2 linked regions of the Bombyx mori genome follow. Each later gene encodes a partner of the first gene's protein in a complex. Links are inferred from orthologs where the notes say so. Each region holds a gene or a part of one and is shown on either strand. Other genes may lie near its edges.

Region 1 (3,832 bases):
TCATGAACCGTGTGGCCGGGGACTACTTCGAGACCTTGCTGTACAAGGTGTTCGTTTCCATCGACGAGCACACCGGGGTCGGGGAACTTGCTGCCGTCCTCCAGGTCGGTAGGAGATGTACCTTGACACGCTTTTTTTTACCGACAGACACCTACAACGTAAATACCGCCTTGAGATATGAGTTGTAAGGTCTCAGTTATTAGAGCACAACGGCTGCCCCATTCTTCAAACCGAAAGGCATTACTGATTCACGGCAGAAATAGGCAGGGTGGTGATACCTAAATGCGCAGACTCACAATTTTTTTTTATAGCTTAGTTGGGTAGACAAAACTCACAGCTTACCTGGTGCTAAGTGGTTACTGGAGCCCATAGACATCTATGACGTAAATCCGCCACCCACCTTGAGATATAAGTTCTAAGGTCTCAAGTATAGTTACAACGGCTGCCCCTTCAAACCGAAACGAATTACTGCTTCACGGCAGAAATAGGCAGGGCGGTGGAACCTACCCGTGCGGACTCACAAGAGGTCCTACCACCACGTAAATTATAATTTTGCGGGTTTGATTTTTATTACACCATTATTACACCTTCACCGTGAAAGTAAATCGTAAACATTTGTTAAGTACGTATTTCATTAGAAAAATTAGTACCCGCCTGCGGGATTTGAACATCGGTGCATCGCTATATACGAATGCACCGGACATCTTATCCTTTAGGCCACGACGACTTCAATGTTATCCGATATCCGATATATCACTCGACACAAGATGGACTCTCAAATGATGAAGATGGATGAAATTTGTTTTAATCAAAGGTTGACTGCGAGCTGGTGAAGCAAGCGGTGTCGCTGTACTGCCGGCTTGGGTTCGCGAACAACCTGCACCCCCCGCCCGTCTCCCCGCCGCACCCCTCCTGGAGCGACGCGGTCACGACACACACCCATCCGCCGTGAGTGTGACTTAGCGACGCACTAACATATTCTGTGCAAATTCGAGAAGAAAGCTCAAGAAAAAAAACAAAAAAATATTTTTTTATTGCTTGATGTGTGGTTGATCTCACAGCCCACCTGATATTAAGTGGTTACTGGAGCCCATAGACATTTTTTTTTTGTAAATTTTTTCCTTATTAGGGGAGGCAAGGGGACCTAAGCCCAGACAGCCTTGTCTGTTTTATATAATTTCTTAAATAAATTTTCAAAAAAGCCGAAGCCAGGTCTTGTATGATATATATTATATCCTGAAATAAAAAATTCATTAAGGCCGAAGCCAAGTCCTTTATGCCCATAGACATCTACAACGTAAATGCCGCCACCCACCTTGAGATATGAGTTCTAAGGTCTCAGTATAGTTAGTTACAAAGGCTGCCGCGCCGTAAATATCACGACACACTTGATATGTACTTGCAAACTCACTGATGTGTCAGGACACGGTGGTTGAGAGCCGCTGGCTTAACTAATGGAATGCAAAGTCACGTAAACTTGTTTCAATTCCATATATTCGTGTATTAAAAGAGATAACGCCATTAGAGTCTAATGTTATAATAATTATTCAACGATTTCAACTATTCTAATAATCGATGTAGATATGACCATTTTGAAGCCCTTTTTTTTAATTAATTTATTAATTATAATTTTATCCTTTACTAGCCGTACTCGCCCGCTTCGCTGGGCATTTAAAATTAACATTATTATTTATTATCATTATTATTAGGGAGTCCAACACTCATATAAATATTAGCCTATCTATTATGTACATGTATTTTCTACATGGATACCAAGCTTCAAGTCAATCGGATGTATGGTTCAGTAGTTATAACGGAACATCCGTAAAAATCACTGTAGATTTATATATTACTATAGTTTTTTTTGTATATGGATTAGCATATTCTTTGCACAGGTACCGACAAATAACACCTTTGACCTTTGACCCGGGAGTCGATGAGGAAACTCTGCAAATGGAACCGGTGCTTCTGAAAGACGCCCCATCTACTTCCAAACAGGTGTGTGCTTTTAATTCGAAACAATTGAAACGGCAACGTCCGAACTTTTATAAAACTGTAAAATACAAAAACCAACTTTATTGCTATTGTAATAAAGGTTATGTTTTATTGTTATGTTAAGATCGATCGTGTGGTCACTCACTTCTGAGTTGAGTGTTAGATTAGAAAGCTTGTAGGAAGAATTTGTGGAGAAGAATGAAGATCAAGATACTGCAATTACCTCATCAGTCTGCCTCACCAGAACGCTTTCAAGATACAACCACAGTGCGCTGGCTAAGCGTTAATGAAGTTTAAACTTTTTAAGAAACACAAACTGACGGCTAACCGCAGTGATAATGTATGTCTCTTATTTTTTTTACTTTCAAAATGTTGCACATGCTGCGGCAAAGCGTGGCGCGACACGACACTAGTCGTGCTCAGTTGGTAGCGCTGTCACCGAACAAGTTGGCGGGAGATTTCAAAGATTTGAACTTGGAAATCGAACAATCACTATTTGTCATTATTAGTCTATGGTGACAGCTCGGCATCATCTGTCCATATCCTCGAAGTATAGACCCTTAAGCCTTGTTCGGACTAGGCGAGTATTTTAATCCAGTACCGAGTAATTTAGTAGCCAAAAATTTAGTCTAGTAGGTTAGTAAATAATTTAGTCAAGTCAATCCATTTTGTTCTATTTTTTCAAGCGAGTAGCGAGTAGCTTAGCCACTAAATTAATCGGTATTCGACTAAAATACTCACCTAGTCCGAACAAGGCTTTAGAGTTACCAGGTCACAAAATCCCTTAAAAAATTGACCCTTAGAGACTTTTTGGCGGGAACGCGAGGAGTGAAGTTGTGTGATTTGGTTTTTTTTTGTCTATTTAGTGTTTCTTCAGGTTTAAATGTGTAATCACAGTGATTTATTAATTGTTTAGCATCTGTAAATGAACCCAAATGTGGGAAAATGAAACAAAGTCGCTGGACGTAAAAATGAAATGAAATGAAACGAGATGAGATGACATGGGATGAAATATAATCTTAGTAAAATGGTGGTCATTTACTGAGATTTTTTCAGTGGACTTTTTGGAGGATCCCGAAAAGTTACGTCCAGCGGCTTTGTTTCATTTTCCCACACCACCGTTATTAAAAATTTAATCCTGAAGAAACACTAAATAGACAAAATAAAACAAATCAAACAACTTCACTCCTCGCGTTCCCGCTAAAAAGTCTCAATCCTAAGCTTTTCCTTATAATCAGAATTGCTAGAGCTAGAAAACGTATTTTGGCACAATTTTATTCTGGATTGTTCTTATTTGTTTGCAGATGCATGAAACTCCTGAGGGATCCGGGGGCGGTGGCCGTCGGGTAGCCGTGCTGTTTGACTCGACACTCGCCGCGTATCTGATGATGGGCAATCTGTCACCGGTATAATAAAATTTCAATAAAAAAATCCTGTATTTCCTTATCCTTAATTTCCATTTCAAATGTGGTATTGGTTTGTTAATGTTTAGTTATTTATTGTTACGCGCTGGGGTTCGGGATAAATAAAATTCTACCAAACTACAACTAAAAAACTGTATTCAACATTTAGAACACTTAAACACTTCACAAGCACTTTAAAACACTCAACAAACACTTTAAAACAATAAATCTGCTTGTTCCGCTTCGCTTCAAGTGATCCGTTCGCTGTTTCGCTTCGAGTAGTTCCGATTATTAACTGACTGCGTGCCATCCCTACAACGCTTTTATAGCCGATACCTCATCCCTAGAATTATCGAGAATATTTCACACATCTCTAGTAGTAGTTCCCGCTATCTGACAATAGATGGCGTTGTACTTCTCGAGCGTTCTAGGTC
Region 2 (4,340 bases), on another chromosome or scaffold:
TCTTTTTAGATATTTCTTCTAGCATACCAGTTAGTTCTTGCATCATCACAAAGGTACATTTTCTCAACAAATTATTAACTCTGATTTTTTGCTGTTTTCGAGAACTCATTTTTCCGCACTGACTTTACAAAGGTATGTACACCTTATGAAATATCTTCGACTACTGACGAAGTACTGATTGGGTTAGTTTTGGGCGCCAGCACTGACGTTAGTTACTGACTCTATATAAATCTGCCTTCTAGTGTGTACTGGTAAAATGGGGCGATTAGGGACAAATTCCAACTTTATGACCAATTTTAAGGTAGTTGTTGATGTATATAATGCTATATCAGGATCAAAATGATTGAGTCTTGGGGGCATCTTTGTTGTCCAATTTAAAACTATGCAACTAGCATTCCAGTTTAAGCAAAAAAAGCAAAAATATGTGTAATCCCTATTTACCCGGAAATTGCGGTTAATTGGGACGAAATGAGAAATTTTCTAGGGTGGGCACTACTTGGTTTTAATTTATTTATTTATTTAGTTGCACCAACAAAGTGATCATCAATAAAAAACATTGAAAAACGGACACTGAACAAATATTAAATATTTTATTATGTATTACTTAGACATTTTTGTCCACCTTGAGATTTCATTGTTCTTATTACATGTCTGTGCAAAATTGACTTACTTATATTAAATTGCTTAGCTATTTCAACTAAAGACTTATTCCCAATTTGGCAATTTCCCAATTGCTGTTTTTAATATTAAGGGATAATATCTGCACTCTTTGATACGTACACGCGAGGCATATCCAAAAATAGAAAACAATACGTAACTGATAATATAAATATTTACCAAACAATAAAATAACACATTGATAATTTTGAATAAAAGTTCTAAACAAAAACATCATGAATAAAAAAGATTTTTACCAACAAATCTAAAAAATATTGTTGTAACTACATAGACAACCCTAGAAACCTGTACCTATTTATATTTAGGTCGTTTCCATTTCACGTATTCTCATCCCAATTGATCCCTTTTTCGTTGTTATTTGTACCTAAAACGTCCCCAATATCCCCAGAAACAACAGATTTTTACATGTATTTTTATTTTATCAAATACATTAAAACCAATAACAACTGAGACTTATTTTTAATATACATGATGGTTCAAACACTAAATAACGTTTATAAATCACAGTCGTCTTCTATTATTATCAAATAAATAAAAGAGAGCAAAGTTTCTAGCACTAAAATAATTACCACCACAGGAAGTTAATTTGAAACGCGATTTTTTATAAGTTAGCAGCTATTATCATGCATATTCAGAGTTGTTTTGTAAACTTTCAACATTCTACTATTAAACTACAAAAAAATGGAAGATTTTGCAACGAATATAAAACTAATAATGAGCGTCGAAAGATTTTCTCGGTTTTTTCCCGATTCGCCTCTCAATCCCTAATCGTTCCATTTTACGGTACTGTGTTATCTCGAGGTTTGTATGTATTGTATACATACTGCATAGATAACATATTTGATAGGCTAACTTAAAATTACTAAAATTTGCAAAACTAAATTTCAATATTTACGAAATTGTTTTGATGTATTTTTCGCACGATTTGGAGCTCCATTGTGTTGTAGTTATCAACTAATTTAAATTTGTCGTGTCAAACGAAACAAATGGCAGGAGACGACGATGATACTTGGTAAGGAAATATTTTAGTTTTAATTTACTTATAATTCGGGATATTTGCTCATGAGAATTATTTGATCTTGTATCGTTTGATCTTAGTCCTCATAGATGAGGGCTAAGATTACTTCAGATACTACTAGTACAGTTTTGAGCATTTATCAGTATTTCACTATTGTCAAGGACGTCGTTTTGTTAATTATTTCATGACCATGTTTGCACATTGCAGTATACTTGCATAGGTAATTGTGTGAGATATCGTTAGCAATTATATATATAAATAGCGATTATACGTTATCGTCACCCTTGGAAAAATAATTGTAGTAAATTCTCATAAAAAATGCCATTCCTTCTACAATATTATATTTAATGTAAAATTTACTTCTTGGCACTAATAATTTTAAAAAAACTATTTTAGGTTGATAGAACTAGAGTCTGCTCTTCTCGATGGATGTACCGCACAAGAAATTAATGCATTAACGAAAGGAAAAAAAATACCTGTTAGCTTACGTCCTGATGTGTGGTTGTTATGTTTGAATTGTCAAGATGCTGGAAACCAATTGCTTTTGTTTGATGAGATATTTGACTTACCTAATCAGAATGAATTAAGAGATGATGTAAAAAAGTTTGTTGAAAAACTTGGCAATGAAGAAGATGATAAATTAGCAGTTATATCTGATGTTGAGTCAATAATCACATTTTATTGCAAATCGAAGAACACAACTTACACTTCAAACAATGGTTGGATTGATATTTTATTACCTTTGTTAAGTTTGAAGCTACCACGGTCAGATACTTATAATTTGTTTGAAAGGATTTTAAAATTGTATACACCAAAGGGCTGTTCAAAAAATGGAGTACCTTGCCATATATTAAGGTTGATACTTCAATACCATGATCCAGAACTTTGTTCATTTTTGGATACAAAAAGAATCACTCCAGAACAGTATTGTTCACCATGGTTGAAGTCATTATTTGCTGGTACATGTAGTTTGGATGTAGCTTTATACATGTGGGATTTGTATTTTCAAAGGTCAGATCCGTTCTTCATATTTTTTCTATGCTTAATTATGATCATTAATGCCAGAGAACAATTACTACAGATGAAAAATGATGATAAAACAGCCATTATACAAATTCTTACCAATATGCCTGCAGATTTGGAAGCAAATGATGTTTCGGATTTCTGTTCATTGGCTCATTACTACTCATTAAAAACACCTCAGTCTTTCAGAGATGATGTCTTAGAGGTCTTATTTTCAGAAAGTGAATTGGAAATAAATTCAAGACTGTACTCACAAGCTTTATGTCTGCCTGTAGCAGTTCATGAATTAATTGAAAGTGCAACATTAGAATTGGCAAATTCAGATAGTGTGAAATTCTTTTTAGTTGATTGTCGACCAACAGATCAATATAATGCAGGTCATTTATCCACCGCATTTCATCTAGATTGTAATTTGATGTTGCAAGAACCTGCAGCTTTTAATACAGCCGTGCAAGGACTATTAAATGCTCAAAGACAAGCCTTAGCTGCTGGATCACTTGCTGCTGGAGAACATCTATGTTTTGTCGGATCAGGTAGAACTGAAGAAGATAGTTATGCTCATATGGTGGTTGCATCATTTCTGAAGAGAAATACTAAACATGTTTCTATGCTTGATGGTGGCTTTGTGGCAATTCATGATTATTTTGGGCCTCATATGACAGATTGCCTAGAGGAACACAATGCATCAGCATGTCTTGTTTGTGTTCCAAATAATACCTCTGTTGGAATGAGTAAAAACGTAGCCAGTGCAACCAAAACTAGTGAGAATATGATTACTAAACAATTGTTTAGCAAATTGTCATCTGCCATGAAAGCTAAAAGTCAAGAAGTCAAAGGGAAATTGATAGAGTACATAGTTAACCCAAATTCCACATACAATAATAGTGAATGGCATGTGTCTGCAAATGATAGAAAAGAGCAAAGGTATAGAAATGTACCACCTGTATTTAGCATAAATGATGAAGATGAAGACTCACGGTCTGATAGTTTACGTCATGATCTTACACTTTCTGATTCTATCGAAGAAATAGTTAATGTGCAGTCGTTTCTTAAGGAACCAAATACTATTGATAATTTTCAATGCCAGGAAGTATTACTTAATGGATATATGCATGATTCTTATATAGTTGTAACAGAAACACACTTAATTGTTTTACGTGACATTCCAAATAAACGAGGCCTAGCAAAGATTATGTCTAGGAGACCTCTCTCTACTATAGTTAAAATAACAGCTAAGAAGAGGCATCCAGAATTAATTACATTTAAGTATGGTATTCCAGATGGTGATAATTTACTAATTAAAGATATGGATAGATTTCTTATTCCAAATGCCTCTGTAGCTACTAAAGTTGTATCAAATCAAATTGTACAACAGTTGGATAACAAATTACAGTGAACTATTAACATTTTCATATTGACTTAGTTCTGAGAAGTAGCTTATTTGCTACAAGTATAATGCAGATGCTTATCTAAGGACTAAGAATTATTTAAAAAAAAAACAACTATCATGTTAACTTGTATACATAGCCCTATCGGAATAAAATGATAAATGTTGTAATAATAGTAACTGCAGGTTTGTTTGCGATTAGTGGCAGTAAAAGCGCATTTATTTGTTGTAAAT

Evidence for each region.
Region 2: the proteins of protein FAM91A1 (region 1) and TBC1 domain family member 23 are in contact, whole or in part, in a crystal structure (PDB 8JJ9), measured with the Homo sapiens proteins. The link is inferred for Bombyx mori from reciprocal best matches to the Homo sapiens genes FAM91A1 and TBC1D23. Residues at the interface, in NP_659400.3 of Homo sapiens: Arg49, Glu60, Arg61, Tyr64, Asp84, Ile85, Lys88, Gly89, Leu90, Arg91, Ile92, Thr93, Phe95, Ser96, Ile159, Pro161, Tyr176, Ile177, Thr178, Glu179, Asp181, Ile182, Lys190, Asp194, Ile197, Asp198, Tyr216, Asn217, Lys218, Gly219; in NP_001186127.1 of Homo sapiens: Arg533, His534, Val535, Ser536, Ser537, Asp539, Val541, Gly542, Lys543, Pro544, Tyr545, Arg546, Val548, Pro550, Val551, Phe552.

Annotation. Positions count from the first base shown.
Region 1 is NC_085125.1:2,177,299-2,181,130, forward strand, and holds part of protein FAM91A1, read left to right. Parts: coding exon 1-104; intron 105-814; coding exon 815-948; intron 949-1,476; exon of another isoform or gene 1,477-1,895; coding exon 1,896-1,998; exon of another isoform or gene 1,999-2,053; intron 2,054-2,218; exon of another isoform or gene 2,219-2,357; intron 2,358-3,299; coding exon 3,300-3,401; intron 3,402-3,832. UniProt on the Homo sapiens protein: As component of the WDR11 complex acts together with TBC1D23 to facilitate the golgin-mediated capture of vesicles generated using AP-1.
Region 2 is NC_085118.1:8,948,618-8,952,957, reverse strand, and holds the start of TBC1 domain family member 23, read left to right. Parts: upstream 1-1,476; 5' UTR 1,477-1,664; coding exon 1,665-1,690; intron 1,691-2,092; coding exon 2,093-4,115; 3' UTR 4,116-4,340. UniProt on the Homo sapiens protein: Putative Rab GTPase-activating protein which plays a role in vesicular trafficking. Involved in endosome-to-Golgi trafficking.